Linked DNA regions of Solanum lycopersicum. Each later gene encodes a partner of the first gene's protein in a complex. Links are inferred from orthologs where the notes say so. Each region holds a gene or a part of one and is shown on either strand. Other genes may lie near its edges. The genes, in order: THO complex subunit 6, THO complex subunit 2, THO complex subunit 3 and THO complex subunit 5A.

What was found.
Region 2: THO complex subunit 6 (region 1) and THO complex subunit 2 share a complex: the UniProt entries of both Arabidopsis thaliana proteins name them as parts of the THO complex. The link is inferred for Solanum lycopersicum from reciprocal best matches to the Arabidopsis thaliana genes DWA1 and THO2.
Region 3: THO complex subunit 6 (region 1) and THO complex subunit 3 share a complex: the UniProt entries of both Arabidopsis thaliana proteins name them as parts of the THO complex. The link is inferred for Solanum lycopersicum from reciprocal best matches to the Arabidopsis thaliana genes DWA1 and TEX1.
Region 4: THO complex subunit 6 (region 1) and THO complex subunit 5A share a complex: the UniProt entries of both Arabidopsis thaliana proteins name them as parts of the THO complex. The link is inferred for Solanum lycopersicum from reciprocal best matches to the Arabidopsis thaliana genes DWA1 and THO5.

What each region holds. Positions count from the first base shown.
Region 1 is NC_090806.1:51,842,645-51,847,876, forward strand, and holds the start of THO complex subunit 6, read right to left. Parts: upstream 3,254-5,232; 5' UTR 2,966-3,253; coding exon 2,768-2,965; intron 2,667-2,767; coding exon 2,647-2,666; intron 2,562-2,646; coding exon 2,457-2,561; intron 1,909-2,456; coding exon 1,838-1,908; intron 1-1,837. UniProt on the Arabidopsis thaliana protein: Acts as a component of the THO subcomplex of the TREX complex which is thought to couple mRNA transcription, processing and nuclear export.
Region 2 is NC_090804.1:20,332,821-20,337,366, forward strand, and holds part of THO complex subunit 2, read right to left. Parts: intron 2,283-4,546; coding exon 1,122-2,282; intron 1-1,121. UniProt on the Arabidopsis thaliana protein: Acts as a component of the THO subcomplex of the TREX complex which is thought to couple mRNA transcription, processing and nuclear export.
Region 3 is NC_090806.1:70,054,795-70,060,017, forward strand, and holds the start of THO complex subunit 3, read right to left. Parts: upstream 3,573-5,223; 5' UTR 3,456-3,572; coding exon 3,393-3,455; intron 3,252-3,392; coding exon 3,156-3,251; intron 1,002-3,155; coding exon 872-1,001; intron 298-871; coding exon 206-297; intron 1-205. UniProt on the Arabidopsis thaliana protein: Acts as a component of the THO subcomplex of the TREX complex which is thought to couple mRNA transcription, processing and nuclear export. Contributes to the integrity of the endogenous trans-acting small interfering RNA (ta-siRNA) pathway.
Region 4 is NC_090803.1:65,322,144-65,327,144, reverse strand, and holds the start of THO complex subunit 5A, read right to left. Parts: upstream 3,514-5,001; 5' UTR 3,223-3,513; coding exon 3,013-3,222; intron 2,723-3,012; exon of another isoform or gene 2,537-2,722; intron 951-2,536; coding exon 660-950; intron 1-659. Other genes in the region: annexin D5, read right to left, coding at 4,527-4,730. UniProt on the Arabidopsis thaliana protein: Acts as a component of the THO subcomplex of the TREX complex which is thought to couple mRNA transcription, processing and nuclear export.

The DNA.
Region 1 (5,232 bases):
TGGAAATTTGTGTTCAGGATACACCTCAATGATTGGGAAATACCAAGAGTAGCAAAATTATTCAGCACCATTGACCAATTCAGTGGTTTGTAGGCTGGACAAGACATCCTACAGTGGCAGGGATATGTTAGGCTTTTTGTAATTAGCCTTCCAAGTCCCTCTATGTACGAATTTTTGGAGGTCACCAGCATGTCCTTAATGCTGAGGAATACAACATTACCGTTTTTCAAAAAAACTGGCTTGAATTGGATCCTTAAAATTTCTCTTAATGGAGGTTTAGATCCTGAATCAGTAGCAAAGAGCCAAATTGGTGAATGGAGTAATCTTGGCTGGAAATTTTATTTTTTTTTGAAGAAGGTAACTTGTATTATGAACAAAAGGAATACTCAGAAAAGTATTCCAGTATACTTGCAACAAAATTACAGAGGGAGAGGTGTCCCTACTAAGCTTCATAAATTCTAAAATACTAGGAATATCCTCTTCTTGAGGATATTTGTGTTACACCCAAAAAAAAAGGACTAGACAGTTCATCTTCAGTTTCTGCAGAGAGCGGCTCTTGTTTTCGAAACATCTCTGGTTCCTTTCCATCCATATAGTCCACCAAATGCAGGTTGGGACAATCTTCCATCTCTCCCCGTGTCCCGACTGATTCCCATGGAATTTTAGCTATAGGAGATTAGCAGATTTGCAGAATTCTATGACACACTTGCTCAATATACTGGAACCACCCTCCTCAGAGACATATTATGGTGGAAAAACCCACAACTCAGGTGAATTCTCAATCAAAACAGCAAACCACTAGCTGATTTATGGCAACAATATTAGTGACTTTTGGCCTTGGAAGCACAGATAGAAAGACTATGATTCCATATAAGGTGCCCTGCTTTGTATTGTAAAAAGGCTTGTTCGATACAGGATAAGCAACAAAGAATGCAACTACAGCTATGTTCTATCTGTCTTTTATATGGAAGAACTGCAGAAACAACTAATCATTTGTTCCTGCACTGCAGAGTAACCACCCAACTCTGGGATTTGTTTTGGGTTATGTAGGCTTGAGCAGGACTATGTCAGGGAGTTCAGTAGAGATGCTATCTAGCTGGAGAAGAAAAGGGAGCACCAAAGTTCAGAAAAGAAGATGGAGCATAATCCCAGGATGCATATGGAGGGATATTTAGAAGGAAAGACATTAAAGATGTTTTGATTTTGAATGCAAAAGAAACCCAATCCAAAAGATAAAGTTTAATTCTATTTTGCTATTTCATTTTTAATGTAAACAAGAATACATAGAAGACACTGAAACACTACTTCAAGTCCTAGAGTCTCTATAGTTTTCCTTTTTGCTAGAAGATATCTTCCTAGAATAGTAGCTTTTGCCTTCTAATACTCCTGTGAATACTGCTTCACAGCCCTTTTTGTGATCTAATATAAGTTGTTACCTTCATCAGAAAAAAAAAACATCAGCTGAACTGCTACAAGAGGGGCAGATTGAAAATCTGAAGTTGCTGAATTGACATTTTTAACTTCTAATCTGGTAAGCTGATGAAAGACACAAATACATATACATTGCATCCCCTGTTCTTTCCCCTCCTGAACTTACTTTCATAATGTGAGGACATTATAACAAGTTTGTCCGCCAAACAAATCATTCAGCTGCATCAGTTTCAATACAGCAAAAGTGTTGGATGCTAGAACTGGAAGCAAATCCAAGCAAAGGAGCTCAACATTTTTAAATGTTCATAAATAGGATGTTAGAATCCGTCATTCAACAACAATATAACTACACCTCAATCTCAAACTACTCAAGGATACATTACTGCACACACAAAAAAGATGTTACCTTGTGCTGATTCCGTAGATCCCAACATTTCTTTCCACTTCCATCCTCGAATCCGACCATCATCACCACAACTGCATGAAATTACATATATTAACAAAGAATTGGCACATGTGATAGAATAAATAACACTAACCGGTGAAATTAATAGGATTTATTTACTTTTATGTAATAAGTACCACAAGATAATTGCCTCTCTTGCTTACTTAATTGAAAAGAAAATTACTTCACATAGTTTCACAGCTCAATCATTAACTACAACTCTCTAAAACCTCCGTACGAAACAGTTTTACAACTTTTCTCTACTTGCCCTAACATATGAGCTAACTTGCACGGACTCTTCACTTTTGATGCCTCAACTGTGTCAGATTATTCAAAAATACACTACTTTTGGAGAATCCTTCGTCACGCACCCAATGACATTTTTGAAGAGTCCAAGCAATATAGCATATGAGCTCTAGTCAAGCTAAAAGTTCTTACCTGCATTTTAGATACTTGAAGTAACATTTTCCCATAATTTTGATTCTAAACAAAAGAAAAAAGTTGTAATATCTCCCATCTGTGCAAATTTACCTACAGCTTTATCAGTACAGAAAGATAGACGCAAATTCTGAAAAGCTACCTCAATAATAGTGAATCTTCATGGTTACCATAAAATTTAACATCATAAGCAGGTCCATCATGTCCTTGTACCAGCCAACTAGGTTCAGCTACTGGCACCAATGAACTAAACCAACATCACCAAATAAAATATCAATCCAAATAAAACCTGACCAGAACACTTCGAAAACATTGAGACAACAGAAACTCACTTGCCCGCTGAGTTCAATCCCTATCAATAAGAAAAAGGAATTAAATAGTAGCAATTAGTTTGTAGAGCAACCCCTATATTAACGTTCTTTCCTACTTTATAGACTGTAATATTGAGCTTACAAGGCAAGAAGAGATAGAGTAAGCCGCAATGGAGCCGTCGCTAATGGCGGCGACGATGAGGTCCGGATAGGAATTATGGTCCGGGTTCGGGGCAAATGCAGTCCGGAAGACCGTTCGACATTGAGATTCTCTCTCGAGTATAATGGAATCTCTGTATATGTCTTCTTCCCAGTTTCTGCAGTCCATGGCTGTCGCCATTGTTACCGTAATGTTTTGTGTGTAGTGAATCGAGATAATTGAGGGGATTTTGACAAAAAGTGTTTAGAAATTAAAATTGGTGACAAATTACTGATCCGAGTTAAAAAAAAAATTAATTAGAGATTAAGATAATTGGAATTTAAAATACAATATTTAAATTTTTTAAATTTTTAAAACACTTGAATAAACCCAATTCTCATTATCTTTCTTTTCTCTCAAGTTAACAGTGTATTTTGGGTACATTGTTGCGAACAACTCTATTGCTACGACTTTTCAATGCCTTCCTCTCAAGTTGCGAATTCAATTTATCTTTTTCGTCATCGTCGTCATCTACCCCTTAAGGTAATATTCTTTTCTTTCATAGCTAGGATTTTGAGATTGTAACGGTTGATGATTCATTGCATTGTTTTTGTATATAAATTTTTATATTACTTTTGAATTATAATTTTTTGCTATCATGGCAAATCCTCTTATCAAAACTCAAGCTAACGGAAGTAAAGTTTTTTTTTTTTTTTAAGACTCCAAACAAAATCAAATTGAAAATTTGAAATTTTAAACATGTCCTAACAAAAGTGAGAATTTTTATTTCCTCAAAGTCATTGATCTCAAGGGAATTGATTAAAGCAAAAGGGATAAAGTGAGGTGACATGAGACCATCAAGATGGATATATCTAGATCGGTTTTCCTTGAGAGAAAAATTGCAGACAACAAATACACAAAAATCCACAACTAAGAATCAAAATAAGAACAGATTCAAATATTTTTTTAAAGCTAGCAAAAAGTTATAATAAAATGGAGATTCCAATGAATACTAATACTAATACTAAGTAGGCGTTTGTTGATAATAGAAATTTTATGGATATTTTTGATTTAGCAAAATGATATCGATGGCATGTAACTAAATTTCTATTTAACTGCACTACATTATTATAACGGAAAGAGGAAAAAAAATGAAAATAAGAAATTGTTTTTTGACTCGGGATGAATCTTTAGTGATAGATGAAAAGAATAGTGATGGATTTTATACATTTTTTGGATATACAAAAATAGAAAATCACATTTACGATCTACATAATTTTCTTTATCCTTTACTTTTGAGATTTGATTTTCCTTGACAAAATAATTATTCATCTAATTATAACCTTACTTAATCTATACATGAATATGTATTAAGAAGTGAAATAAGTAAAGCAACATCAAATCTAAAAAATTAGCTTATCAATTTTGCATAAATTTAAAATCGCCATTGTTGATATGAATTGATAGTTTCATCTAGTTGAAAAAAATATATGGTGACTGATATAAGTATTGATGGGAGTAATAGTAAATAATTACAAAGCAATGAAAAATAAAATGAATCAATCAATATGAAATTTTGGATCTTAAGAAATTGACCCAAATTAAATAATGAAGAGGGTGGGTGAAGAGTGAAAAATAATATTTTAAAAAAGATTTGGAAAAGTAAAAAAATAATAATTATCTAACATGTCATCGATGTGACACTTAGGTGGAGCGCCTGCACTTCACCCATGTATATGAAACTGGTATTGTATATGTAAGGTGTTATTTAATTCACTTGCAAAAAGATTAGGGGGGCAAATAATTACCCGTAAAGTTAAAGTACTAAAACAAGTTTTGCTGCCAACTTCAGGATGGATTTTATGTATTTAGACTTAATAATAAATATAAGGATTTTGACTAATTTAAAAGGAAAATCTATATTGGATTGTAATTTTATTTGAATTTGCTACGAACAATAAGTAAATTGTTGTATTCATAACAATTGCTGAAATCCTCTACAACAATTAAATGAGTTGTTATATTTTTTTTATTGCAATTGCTGAAATTCTCTACAACAATTAAACGAATTGTTATAGTTTTTTACAAAAATTGCTCAAAATTTCTATAACAAGTACGAAAATTATTGTAGTTTTCATAGCAATTGCTGAAGTTTTCCACAAAAAGTAAGAAAGTTGTTGTACTTTATATAGAAATTACTAAATTTTCTTTAATAAGTAAGCAAATTAATTGGCTAATTCAATTGACAATACCACTCATATTTAATGAAAATTTGAGTAGTTTCATTTAATTTACGCTTACAATTTATATTACATAGTGATCTTATAAAATGATGTAATTATTTGAGATACCAGATGATCAATTCCATTACAATTTCACATATAATCAATTTATAATGCGTAATTAATTGTTTAATGATTGTAACACTCATATTTAATAATAAATAAAGCAGTGTTAATTTAATTTTA
Region 2 (4,546 bases), on another chromosome or scaffold:
CAACAATATTCAAAAAACAAAGATAAACTGCCTAGGTCTTTATTATTTTTGGTGTAAGCAAGTAGCAATAGGAAATTCTGAAGATGTTTCTAATGTTATTCTGGCTCTAACTAGAAGATATTAGGGCTGATGCAAGTATGAAATTTTGAAGGGGAACTACAATTTGATGTAGTATACCTGTGGATATATAGAAGTAAATGTTACCTTACTCCAAAAAAAAAAAAAAAGATTCTAACGCATTAACCAGGAAAAAGGCATTTTTGACCCATTAGTTAAAAATATGGGCAATTTTTGACCAAACAATTAGTAGTAGGGGCATTTCTTGACCAATCTATTGATGCAAAGGGCATTTTTGGACCATACTATTAACTGAGGGCATTTTTGTTGAATTTCCATAATTTAAGGGCATTTTAATCCTTTTCCATTAATTTTATGCAAAGTCCTGTGTAGTTTGCCAGCTTATGTGTTGAATGTGCTGAAGCCAAAACTCAATTCAATGCTTCAGTGCATATTCTAAGGAGCGATAACGCTAAAGAGTATATGTTAGAAATGTATTCTTCATCAATCTTCATGTGTTGATACCATCTTTGAAATGAAGTGCACTCTTGAAACGGAAAACTTCTTCAATTTAAGAACAATGGTCAAATATAGAGGGCAGGACTTTAAAAAAGGAAATGGCCCCTTGAAAGGAGACAGACTGACAATACAACATGTTGTTTCTTTCACGAGGCTTCACTTCCATTTTGATGCTTGCTTAGAAACATTAAATTTAGATCTCAGATATATAGCCAAAACACACTTTGAATAACGATCAAAGATTTTTTTTCAAAAAAGTATGAGCAAATGGGAATAACTTCAAATGGAACTCCCAAATTTAGAATGTCAGAATTAAGAATAACATGCAACGAGTGAGTAGAATATCTATTTTTATACAGACAGAAAATGTGTATACCTATCAGTCTCAAGGATGATGGAATTCTAAACTATCATAATAGTATATATTCAGTTCCAGTGACTTTCCTAAAGTTCAATAATAATTGTGGGCATGACGTAATAACATCAACAATTTCACTGTCTACTCTATCTTGAACAATTATGCATGAAATGTGAATCAGGCTTACCTTAATTGAAAGTTCTCTCTCTTCCCGCTTTCTATCTCGAAAATCATCTTCTCTCCTTCTCTTCAAATCATCCTGCAACAATGCGTTATTCTCTTCTGATCGCCGTCTCTCTCTCTCATCATGCCTTGGAGAAAGTCTTTGACTATGTCTGGCAGTTCCAAAACGTCTATCAGAATCGTCCTCTCTCCTGCCTGCACTAATGGATTGCGGGACCAGATGAGGAGGCAGTGGTGGAGGTGGAGGCAAATTTTGATTATGAAACCGATCATCTGTAAGAGATTTTTCTACAGATGCTTCATTATGTCGCAGCTTGCTCCTATCATCTTTGATCCTTTCATCCTTACTCAACCTATCAAAGTTCCTATCAGCAACTCTCTCATGTACTCTCTCAATTGAACGTTCTCTTCCATGCCGCTCCGTTGATCTATCTCTTGATTTTTCAAATGCATCATCACCGCGAGACCTATCAGGACGGTCCCCTCGCTCTCTGGGGTCTCTCTCAGGTCTTTCACCACCCTTTTCTTTTGATCTATCAAGAGGCTTTTCAGAGGCTCGGTTCAATATTTGATCATCAGATCCATGTTTATCATAATCTGCTGGATGAAGTTTATCTGCAGCTCGTGCATCTATTAACCATTCTTTCTCCGATGAACGAGCATCAGCACATTCAGTATCTCTACCGTCAATTTCACCTTTCCGGCGTTTGTTCAGTCTATCAAGCTCTTCTGCGGGAATAGATCTCTTCTGTACTTTTTCATTAGCTTTAGAAGCATCTTGTCTAGGCGAATGAACCAGACGCAATGTGGACTCCTTATGCACATCAGAACTTTCAGTGACATCATCTTTTCCAGCAGAAACCCTCAGATCAGCAGATTTAGTAGTTGTATGTTCAGCATTAGATTCGTTTGAAGGATCTAACAATCTCGTCAATGGAGCTGCACCTTTAGGTGCAGCAGAAAACATGCTACCGTTCCCTGAAACTGTAGTAGAAACATTAACACTCCCACTTGCTCTGCTCTCAGAAGGATAACTAACATCACCAGAAGCAGCTCCAGATGCTCTTCCAACAGTTTTCCCAGATTTTTCATCTTTTGCAATATCATGTTTTTGTTGCTTTGACAGAGATCCAACCGGAGTAGATCGCTTGCCTGTGCCTCTTCCCTACAGTAAAGGGTGAATATTTTTTAAGTTCAAACAAGTTAACAAAAGAGAACTGCTCAACTAAATAATGGAAGGATCCATCATCTGCAGAAAGATTCATCGAAAAGGAAAGCAAAGCTTCATAATACATATTACACACTAACAATTAGGGGTGGCAATAGGCGGGTTGAGTTGGGTAAAAAAAGAGTCTAACCCATTTCTTTGTATCTTCATTTTTTCAAAAAATCTCAAACATTATTAAAATTCATTTTCTGCTTAAAAGTTCCTGCTAAAAAAACTAAGAAAATATGAATTAATTAATGAGTCTATGACTCAAAACTCAAAAGGTCACTTAACTATGTTGATAGCACACTCAACCAGATATTTTAGATTTTCCACTGTCCAAATACCTATTTAACTACCTGAATTATCAATCTATGCTCTTTTTTGTACTTCTTAAATATTATGATACTTTCTGTTTCTAATTAACATTATGGACTTATCTATGCTGACGGTCTACCGGAAACAACCTATCTACCTCCAAAGGTCTATGTGCATTCTACCCTCTTCATAGTCCACTGGTGGGATTATACATGGTATATTGTTGTTGTGGTCTAATCTATAGGATAATTAATATATCTTATTTATAAAGTAAAGGTGATTATTTTTTTTTAACAAAAATCAAGCATATACAGTATTAATAAAATAATGGAGCATAGTAAAAAAATTACTAGATAATTTAGGAATAATTGAGCCACCATTGTCTCCTCACAAGTAGAACACGTGCTTCTTATTCAATGACTTTACTAAGCCATCTACTAGACTACTACACATTATGTATATGTCAGTGTTCTCAAAGGCGCTCTTAAGCTACAAGCATAGAACATGTCGAGCGCTTAGTCACACACACGCTTTATGGGCACTTCAGTGTCGTCATCAAAGCTCCGGGGCATAATTTTCCTTGCTAATGAGTGCAATCCTAAAGATGTGACACTAAACAACTGGTATTTCACATTATTGTTATATTTTTCAAAATTTCATTGTCCATATATTTATTATCCATGCTTACGATTATTAATCTCGGACTACATATACATAGTCGTAGTTTTCTTCAATTTGTATTTTTTTCAATTAAGCCCACAATTAATTTGCAATTAAATCCCCAAAGGATCTATGACCTTTTTTGCATGAACCGCTTTTTGACAACACCGATATAAGTTATACATTTGTTTCAAAAAAATTTAATCCCCCTCAAAAACAACAAAAAGAAGTTTGGTCCCACTAGATGCAGAGAATCACTATGATGAGATTGAGAGGATCAAACAGGTTGAACTGTTGAAGCAAGCATCTTCAATGACGATTTAGAAGTGTTGAAGTGCAGCAAGTTGAGGGATAACTGAAATAGGTTGTATGGAACACATATGTCGTGTCTGCAACTTACGAATTAAACCCATACATGGCAAGCCCATTTTCACCCATACAATTACGGGTTAAATATAGGTAGAAACCCACATTTTACCCATTTGAAATATCAAGCGGCCAAAATCTTGACATGATATTGAAAACAACTTATATGTAAACCCATGGTAAAGGTTGATTCGGGTCAATAATGAACCGAATAACCTGATTAAAATAACCCCGATGTATGTTTGGACCCACGCGTGGTGGATGGGACCATTGGGACATGTTAACATATGTGCATGGTGCAAGATGGAAACTATATTCAAGTGTTAAGTGGTTAAAGTATCAAAATGGAATGACGAAATCGAGTCCAATGCAGTGTCATGGCATCATATCGCATGCCTAATGCGAAGAACTTAAAGTTTTTAAGGGAGAGTTTCAGTAACTGATGTAAGGCCAAAAATGTATATTTTTAATCATTATTTGCCACATATTTAGTAATTTTATTTATCCTTTTTGTGCATTAATTTTATGAACCGTGTTTAATAGTATATTTTATTTGTAGGGAGTAAATTGGTATAAAGATGAAATTTAGAGCTAAAACGAATTTAAAATGGCAGATTATTGAAGAAAATCAAGCAAGCAACTTAATGGATTAAATTCAATATAATAATGTATAATATATCATGTGTGAATTGTGAATGGTAGAATTGAAATTGACAACTGCTCCCATGCGTCAAAATCTAAAGACACTCACAAAATTTGAAATTACAACAGCTTCACGCGAAAGACCCAATTCCTTTTAGTTTTGGGTTCGTCATTTGTTTTGGACTCGACTATTTTATTTAAAATTTTCTACATCTATAAATAGTCCATAGTATGGA
Region 3 (5,223 bases), about 18 Mb from region 1:
GAACTCCACAGAATATCACCAATAAAACTCACCATCATAAATATGAATGATAGAAAATACATGCAATAGAAAGAGATGAAGCTAAGATACATTTCTGTTTTTGTCTGCACTCATTTTGACTACATACATATCTATAAGCAGCTAAGATAATAGAATATAGAAGTGCTTATTTTAGGAATTAATAAATGACAGAAATAATGAGTACCCTGTTCCCAACAGCTATATGTGTCCCATCAGGCTTGTAAGTGATATTGATATTTTCCCCACTGAGTTCAACTTGCTGTGAGCATTTCCCACCTGCCAAATGGAGACCAAAATGTTTTAGCATCTGCAACACCCTGACCAATAAATAAAAACATATGAATATCTTCAACTTCCTGGAAATTGACGGGAAACTAGGCTGTGAAAGTGTACGTAGAGTTTTTGATTAGTAGTTATAAAGAAGAAAGTGCATGTAGAGTTACCTAACTCATACCCAACCCCCCTGGGTTCCACTTTACATGACATACTTCTAAGCAGTCAAATAACCTTTTCTTTGACCAAAAATATTTTCATATTAGAATGTGTAATTTATAGTTTTCTTTTTTCCAGTTTCTAACTATATAAGATTGTTCTAGACATAAGAAACTGATGTATGAATTGAGACCGGAAATTAACAGGTTTGACCCACTTACGCTAGACCCCTCCAATTATTTTTGAAACAGGAGTAATATTGTTCTCGGATGATTACTTTATGGGAATAAATATAGTGCAAGTCCTCAAGTAACCAATAGACATAGGCTCTTATAGCATTACATTCTTTAAATTCCAACTCATTATTTCATACAGTACTTTGGCAGCTTATTGCTGGTGCAAAATAATATAAACTTACTACGGGCATCCCATAATCGAACTGTCTTGTCACCAGATGCTGTAGCTATCAATTCTGCATGTTTTGGATCCCAACATAACTGGTCCACACTGTCGGTGTGACCCTTTAATTCAACATCTTTTACCTTTCCCTGCAAAAGAGCTATCAGAGACTTGGAGTGTATGCAGACATAAGAGGTTCTATACTCCACCTCTCAAGAATGAGAAAAGACTAGAATATTGAAAACATAGATAGGGCGCAATCATTTTAGTGTAGTTTTATGGTGGCAAGCTATTAATTGTTCAGGTTTTTGCAAGCAAAGGCAAAATATACTACAATCTTCATGCAAGTTCCAAAGTTGAGGAACTTGGGATCTGTGACTATGAAACAAGATAAAAGTACATTTATAGTATTGATACAGAGCAACAGAAGCAAAATATCATTCAATCTTCATGCAAATTCCAAAGTTGAGGAACTTGGGATTTTTGCGACTATGAAACAAGATAAAAGTATGTTTATAGCCTTGATAAAGAGAAATGACAAATGATATAGAGTTATGGAGCACTCGATCTACTAACAAAGTAAAAATTTATCTGGTCTATGACCAAGTAAAAGATTTAATTGATAATAACAAGGCTATCTTGGTCATATAAAAGGAGTATACCACAAAAGGAGAAACCTACCAAACATGGTTCTCCAAAAGACACCTCAATCCTCTATACAAACAAAAATTACACCAAAAGAAAATAAGGGATCGGAGACTACTCCTCAATTGAGCAAAGCTAATCTCCAATTCTCCACCCTTTCAATAGCTCTCCTATTTCTCTCTTTCCAAATGACCCACATTACTGCAAGAGGAGTAACATTCACACCTTGTGTCTTCTTATCCTAACTCCACTCTTCCAACTGAACATCAACACTTCAACAGACATTTGGGATTGCCCAAGAAATATCAAACCATCTAAAGATATCCTACCATAACCTCGAGATGTTTTGCAATGTAGCAAAATATTGATCATGTCCTCTCCTGCCTCTTGACACAAGAAACAACAACTTATGCCCACCACCTTTCATTCCCTAAGATTCTTCACCGTCAATATCACCCCTTTAGTAGCTAACCACAAGAAGAAATACACCTTCTTCAGCACCTTAGGTGTCCATACCGAGTCATACAGAAAACTAACTTCCACCCTAACAGGAAGCTTTTATAGGACTTAATAGAGAACACTTTTTTATTCACCAACTCCCAACTCAAAGCATCAGGTCTATCTACTGGTTTGCATTGCTTATGGTATAAAACTAGAAAGCTTTGAAGATCGGTCATCTCCCAATTTCGGAAATCCCAGAAGGTCCCACCCCCTAATTTGCTGAACAGACAGCTCCCTTTGCCCAGAAATGCTATACAACACCAAGAAATCATTCTTTAACCAAATCACTGCACCACTTTTGACCCCCAAAAACTAGTCTCCTCCCAACCCCAAACTTAAAAGAAAATGTTTTTGTTAAAGGCTTCCCACCCCTTCATTATATTCTTCTACATGCCAAACTCGGAAGGTAACCACATTTGTTCTCCATCTTCCTTCCATAACTCCATATTTGTCCGCTATCACCCCTCCCATAAAGCTTCTTCCTCCATCTCGAATCTCCAAAGCCATTTATCCAAGAGGACTTTGTTAAAAACCTTCAAGTCTTTAACCCCAAGTCCTCACCACTGTTTAGGAGATGTCACGGTCTCCCGTCCCACTAGGTGAAACTTCTTTGTCCCATCCGCCGCATCCCAAATGTTCCTTTGCTACCTTTCCAGCTTTTCTATAACTCCACACCAAGTGCGTTGAGCTGGGACATGCGATATTTTACCATCCTGTACAACTCTGGAGCATTTCTGCATCTTTTTACCCATTCTCCCAATTCAAACCTCTCTGTGTATCTATAACATCGAATTCGTATGACCTCCCACAAGTGAGGTTACGCTTACTTTACCCCACCTTTGATAAGTAACAACAAAATTTAAACCTAACTGCAACAGGCATTACTATCATAGGTTCCTTAACTCATACCACATAGAACTAGACTTTGGCAGAAACAACTAAAGTGAGAGACCAGCTTCTTAACTCTAGAGAAAATCTCAGGTGCCTAAGTTCATGCATATATCATAAAAAGCTATCCTTTTTTCAGTTTATTTACAACACCCAGTTTCCCACCACTTCAGTAGAACATTTAAAAATCAGAGCAATAACAAAAAGCTATCCTTTTTTCAGCATTAAAACTTAACTGAAAACAAAAAAGATGAGCTCATGAAGCTTACATGACCATGAGGCTCAATTTGCCAAATACGAGCTGTTTGATCCACAGAACCTGAAGCTAATTTCGTGCCACTGCAGTTCCATGCCACCGAATGCACCTTTAATTTTTTTTAAAAAAACAGAGAAGATAAAGTATCACATAGTCAATTCATCTAATCAGAGAGTTCATAAAAAGGAAAAGCAAAATTAGGGTTGTATTGTTAACAATGAAGTGAAGGAATAGTTTTAGAGAGAGAAACCTTCTTCTTGTGTCCCTGGTACTCTCTGCTATGAAGATTTTTGAAGGGTATTGTTTCCGCCATTACTCTTCTGCTTGTTTGCTCCGTTTACTTCTCTGAATATTTTTTTTGCTTGTGTAGAAGACGAACAAAACGACACACAATATTGTCGTTTCATGCCAACCCTGTTTAGAAAATGATAGACTAGTCCTTTAAGTTTGAGAATGGTCTAAAATAGTCCTTTATACTGTCGAAATTGAGCATTTTTGGTAATTAACACATGGTCGCTAGTAGTTATTTTTGTTGAAACTGCCTCATGAGAAATAGGTGAGCCCTCTTTTAAACAGAAAAAAAAAATCATCTAAACGGGAATTTCAAGGTTTAAATTTAAACGAGTTACATATTTTGTGTTATAACAATGATCAAGAGCTAGAAGTGTTCAACTTTAATAAATTATTTTGGTGTATAACATTTAAGATCCATTGATTTACCGTAATTATAATTCTTTTGTTATAAAGAAACAATTCATATATTTTATAGAAATAATAATATAAATGGTGGAAATTAATCTTTGATATTTTTTTCATCTAATAATTGTGAAGGAATTAATCGTAGAAATATTTATTGTACATGTTTGTGTGTACTGGCATATATTTACTTTTTTAACAATATTTTATTTTTTCACAAGCATAAGTCAAAGTGTTCATCAAAATGATATCTTTTATATTATTTATTTATTTGGTCTATTAATTGAAAAATACATATAACAAAATATTAGTACCTATCAAATAATTGTCAAAACTGTACAATTATGACTTTTGAGCAAGACAACATTTTCAATAATTTTAAATTTAATTCAAAAGTTTGAACAAATAATACTTCTTATTTCCCACTTTTTCTGGAGATTAATTGATGTGATTGGGGATTAGATATAAAATAAAATAAGTAGCTTGCCCATCTATTCAAAAAAGCAATTTAAAGAATATAAGAAATATTAAAATAAAAAGGTTCAATCAACTTCCTAAATACGTGGAGAAAGTCCAATCTCATCCATTTAAGAGTACTATTAGAGATAATTCTACTTTTATTCCCTCAATTATTCATAATTTTAGTCATTGTGATATTTGATTAAGTATATTTAATTTGTAATGAATTAAAAGTGGGTTTTTTAGATTATATTTGAGTAATAATATAAAACTAGTATGATATTTTGATAGCGAATAATTTAACACAATTATTCATGATATGTTTCAAAGGACATATAATTGAAAAAATTAAATACTTCATGCAATTAATCGAAAATATTCATCAGTTTATTCAAATATTATAATTATAAAATAATTTTAAAAAAATTCATTAGTGTTAATCTTAAAGTTTTAGCTGAGCTATAGTCTCTTTTGACAGAATTCAAAGAAATTACAGTTAAAAATAAATTATTTTAGTTCTTAATTAAATATTTTAACTTTAAATTTAGATAAAATATTATACTAAAGAATACATTTTGTTACATAAATTTTATATAATATAAAAATAAACAAAAATATCAAACAAACAAAAAAAGAAATTATTAGCCACCTACCACAAAATCCACTAATTTAAGGTGTGAAGCACAAGGATGGTCTTTGGTGATACAGTAAAAAGTTGTTAACTTTTTCCATGTTGTCTTTTTTTTTTTTTCGGATAAATTTGAATTAGTTATATTAATAAATTTTGAACAATAAATTACTGAGGAAAATATCTCAAAATAGAGAACTATCTACATGGTAATTCATATATAATATATTTACTTTCATATTTTATACTAAATTTGTATGATTAAATTGCAAATCATCAATTTCTTAGAGGTTCTTTT
Region 4 (5,001 bases), on another chromosome or scaffold:
TCCACTGAAAGCACCACTACAAGGGAAGTCAAGGTGGGTATATTTTCAGAATATCTCTATTCCCCATTGACGTACAAACCTCCATGTGACCTCAAACTTAGCGACATAAAAGAGTCAAGAGAAGCATAAAATTTGACCTCAACATTAGCCAATACTAAAATACCCAAGATTTTTTCGAGCTCATGCAATAACATGTTACAACCTCTACACATAACATATATTTTAAAAAAAAAGAACAGATAAGTACAATATGTGCAGAATCCACAGTCAAAAGCATCACTAAAGGGTAGCCAAACTGGGTATAGTTTCAGAGTATTTTTATTGATTGTAACAACATTGGGTATGAAACTTTCTTCACAACATCTACTTCTGGAACCAGTTTAGTAATTGAAATAAAGAAGATGATTATAATATTACCTTTAAAAAAAAAAAGAAAAAAAAAAGGAAAGATGATAGTACATAAAGACATAGAGTTTAAGAATAAAGATAAGAATTTGATTCACCAAGCAACATGAAACTTCTAACAACTCCGTTTCGCACAACATGCTGAGAAAGAACACTAGTAAACAATTACTAATGTGGAAATAGAAAGGAGTGCTCGCCAATTACTAGTGCGGAAATAGAAAGAAGTGCTCGCCAATTGCATTAAACTAGTTTACCTGGAATAGCTCAAAATTGAACCGCTTTAGCATCAAATTATGTGAGTTATCATTTGACAGAACAGTGTTTTTTATCTCCAAGGGTGCATCTCTAAAGAATTCTTCCTCGGGAACAAGTTCAATATCAGGATATTTTGACCTGAAATCTTTGCAGGCCTTTATAGCTTTCACATAATGACTTTTTTCATACATCAAGTTGTGGAGCTGCAGCGTGGTGAAGTCCACAGGAGCTTTTGCACGTTCAGTTTCCCCCTTCACACGATCCTCTTCGAGCAATATTGATCTATTTGCCTATGGGACGTTTAAGGTAGTGTGAAAAAGTCAGTCGAACATATTATAGATTTCCAGGCACAAATTACTTCCGTGCATAGATTTAATGGCACAATTATTTTGCTATTCCGCAATCCTAACGTTGGTTTATTAAAACAACTTAATAATGGTAAGATGAAATAAGAGAGCCCAAAACGTTCCACAAATTTCAAGGATTAGTACCTTACTCAAAGTGTGGAGCTCAAAAAATCAAATAAAAATATATGAATCTAAACTTTACATGGAATATGTCCAGCCTAACAATAATAACTGCAACCCTAAGAGACATTATATGAGCAATTTGCAGTGAAGCATGTTCAAGTTTGAGAAGTAAAGCAATCAAGCAATAATTTCATTCAATCAGAATTCGAGTTTAAACACAAGAAGATACAACCGACTCTCCAATATTAAGGGTACAGCCTAACAACTAGACCTAATCTTCGAGAAACAAATTGTCGGAATTCCTAAAGTAATAACACTCTCACAGGGCCATATATCTTCGTGTTGATCAACGCTGATTACAATATCGGGTACCCCAGTCATATATTTAATCTCGCCCAGATATGTTTGCAAGCGAGATAATTGTCTTTTCAACAAAGCTGCATCTCTTTCAGGAGACGGTTGAGTCTCCCTGTTTTTTGATCTATTCTCATGTCCCTGGACTTATAAAACTTGTTTTTATAGAGGGACAATTCGTCAACATACTGCCGAGCCATTTTTCATTAACATAATGACACCGGGCCCTTATTGCAGCCCACTCTACAGAATCAGCTGCTTATATTATTGTGATATAAGGCGCCATTTAAGGATTCCATTTCCTAGTACCATGACCAAAATGAAATAAATTGTTATGTCATAACATAGCTGTACCTAGACACAGTTTCATCCTATGGCTGAGTCTACAGGGGAAGCTAAAAACTAAAAATTTATTCTTGAGATGGGGACTCGTGTATATCCTGTTTGCATCTTCTGCAGCACTTTAGTCGAGACTGGAAGTCACCTATTTTTCAAGTGTCAGTTTACTAAAGATATATGGAGCGACATATGCAAATTGCAGAAAAGGATCAAGGCAATACTGGAGTGGGAACTTGAATGGAGTTGGATGCAACAAAATTTCAGAGGCGAAGATCCAAGGAAGATGATACTTAAAAGTAGTCTAACTATGGTGGTTTATGGTATATGGCCAGAAAGAAACAGACAGATTTTGCAAATCACATCCATGCACAAGGAGAAACTAGTACACTTAGATGAAGCTCTCTCTGAACACAAGAACTAGGAATAGTAGGATGTTGTTTAGATATGTAGAATCACTAAATGAGCAGTTAACTATATTTGCCATTTAGTTTGGTTTCTAGCAGATGAGATGAGAAAGGATTGAATTGGTTAATTCATATTTCATCCTAGCTTTGTAAAGAGTTCACTTGGTAGTTGGAAATTAATAAAATGTTTCTTTAATTGCCAAAAAGAGAAAGGAAGAAACGGAAGCACATGTATACAGTTCTTTTTGTTTGTTATGTACACGTAGATCAGAACTACTCAATAAATAAAATTGAGTTGAGATTACCAACCAGAGTGATCAAAGATAAACAATACTAACAGGTGTTTTGCAGGATGAAAATAGAATACAACGGAGAAAGGTCGCAGTTTCCTAAATCCGATTAATTAACTATGCATAGACTCCCTCCATGATAGTCCCAAATGAACTAGCGCCAGGGCAGCTGTACCTAAAAAGCACAGGTCTCCGGTAAATCTACCTACAAAGGTTTAGAGCAACTCTCAGTCTCTCACTGAGTATTGTAGCTGAGTCCATTGAATTACATCAACCAACATTCATAAGGATGATACATATATAAAAATTGAGTCTAGAGTACTAACAGCTCATACTTAAACTTAAACTCATCTTCGTTTGACTGGTCTAATCACTTCGTTAACAACAAAATGCTACCTCTACTTCAAAATCGGATTGACGAGCGGATTATTTAATTGGAAACTGGACTCATAGAACTTTAAAAAGGAACAATTGGAGATGCAATGAAATATTAACCTGACGGAGAGAGACGAAGTTGATGAAAATCTGAGTGACAAGTTCGCGAATTTCAGATTTCGGCGTGCTTTCTTTCTTCATAGAAAGCATTTTCGAGACGATTTCCTCTACTGAAGCTTTGCTTTGCTGCAGAACCTCGTGCGGCGACCTTTCCGGCTTGTGCTCCGGCAGTATCTCACCGGGTTCCCCCATGGTTACGTCCATTTTCATCTTTACTCAGTCGCTGCCTACAGGTTTAAGTGGTACATTAAGCTTCTGGATGTGTACGTTACTAGGGTTTGATCCGTTTACTCTTGCTCGAGCGAGCGCTTCGGTCTTCCCTTCTTATTGCTTCCTTCTTTTTTCTCCTTTTTTAAGCATTAATTTCCATAATTTAAAAGGAAAAAAAATTAGGCAAAAGATTTTTTTAAAAAGAGATATGTTTTTGTTTCAAGATGTTCTTGTATTACTCAAAAATTATTTTCTATGTGATACATTGTTTACTCGTTTAGAAAATACAAATACAAATTTAGTAAATTCCTTCCTTTAATATTTTATTTTTTAATTAATCAAAAATTTTTGAAAAATTGTTGGGAAATTTGATAGTCCGTCATAACTTCCGACAAGCAAATAAAGTAGCGAGCGCTCTAAAAATAATAATAACAACAATAATAGTTTGACTTCAAAATTTTAATACTACTTTTAATGTGATCATTTACCATTAGACACAATTATATTTTCAAACCACTTCCTTTTTTTCTTCATTTGTTTAATTGTATAAAACATACTTAATACCCTTAAAATGAGATATATGAAGCAAATCATCACCCTATAATAAAAGAGCAATCTATGTAGCATTTAAAATTGAATAGGAAAACAAATTTTCTTCAACTACTTATTATTGTCCATTCTTTTAATATTTGTGGCTCTCGAGAGTTTTTTTAAAGGAATGATTGGTCAAAGTTACGTGATAGTCTATAAATATTATTGCCTACCCAACACAGTCATACACAGTCAAAATTTACTAAACGCGATTACAATGAGATGAATAAAATTATGACATGGTTGAGAGATGTTAAAGTTGACTTTCTAACTCATACGTAAAAAAATCTCAATTGGACCATCATAATCAGTGAACAAAGTATAAACTTAATTTTTCAACAATATAAAATACTGACCGCACAAACAACAAATCTATTAAAGTGAGGGCAGGAAATAACGGATGTTGCAAAATATTTTTCAAAAAATTTAACCAACCAAACATGAGAAATTTAGGTGGGAAAAAATATATTTTCCTCCGGTACCAAACATACCCAAATAAGTGTACATCTGAAAGCACCTTCACAACACCATTCACACTTAGCATTCGACTAAACTAAAAAAGGTATCCAACTGATCATGGACAGACATTGTTCCAAATCAACTACTCAGCAAATAAGCAAACAATAATTAGCATACAATAGAAACTGCTTACACACTAGTTTCAACACTAATACCACACTAATAACACCTGTTGCATGGCGTAGACTCTTGATTCAGTGACCAGGCCCCAGAAGAGATAGAAGAAAGGTCCGATAATCACCAGAAGTCTCCGAATGAACAGCATCATTAAGAGATTTCTTATACTTTTTCTGGTACTCTGCTTTTATATACTGCATATCAATCTCAGTTCGCGTGACTATTATCCTTATGAGAGTTGTATCATTCGTCCCCAAGCCCTTCATTGCCTTGTGTAACTCCTGAATCCATTTAACATATGTAAGGTGCAGTACAGCCACAGAGTTTATACAATTTATTCATGTAAGAATTAGCATAGCTTACTAAATCTAAGACAAAAATGATAACACAGATTATAGCAAAGTACTAGAGATTATTCTGAAGCCCCCAATGAAGGATGCTATAGTAAAAACATGAAAATCTTTAGAATCCCATTCCATGTCAAACTTGAGATATAGAGACAACAAGAATAAGAAGAATTTATTACTGCCTTGGATCCTTGAGGAAGTCATT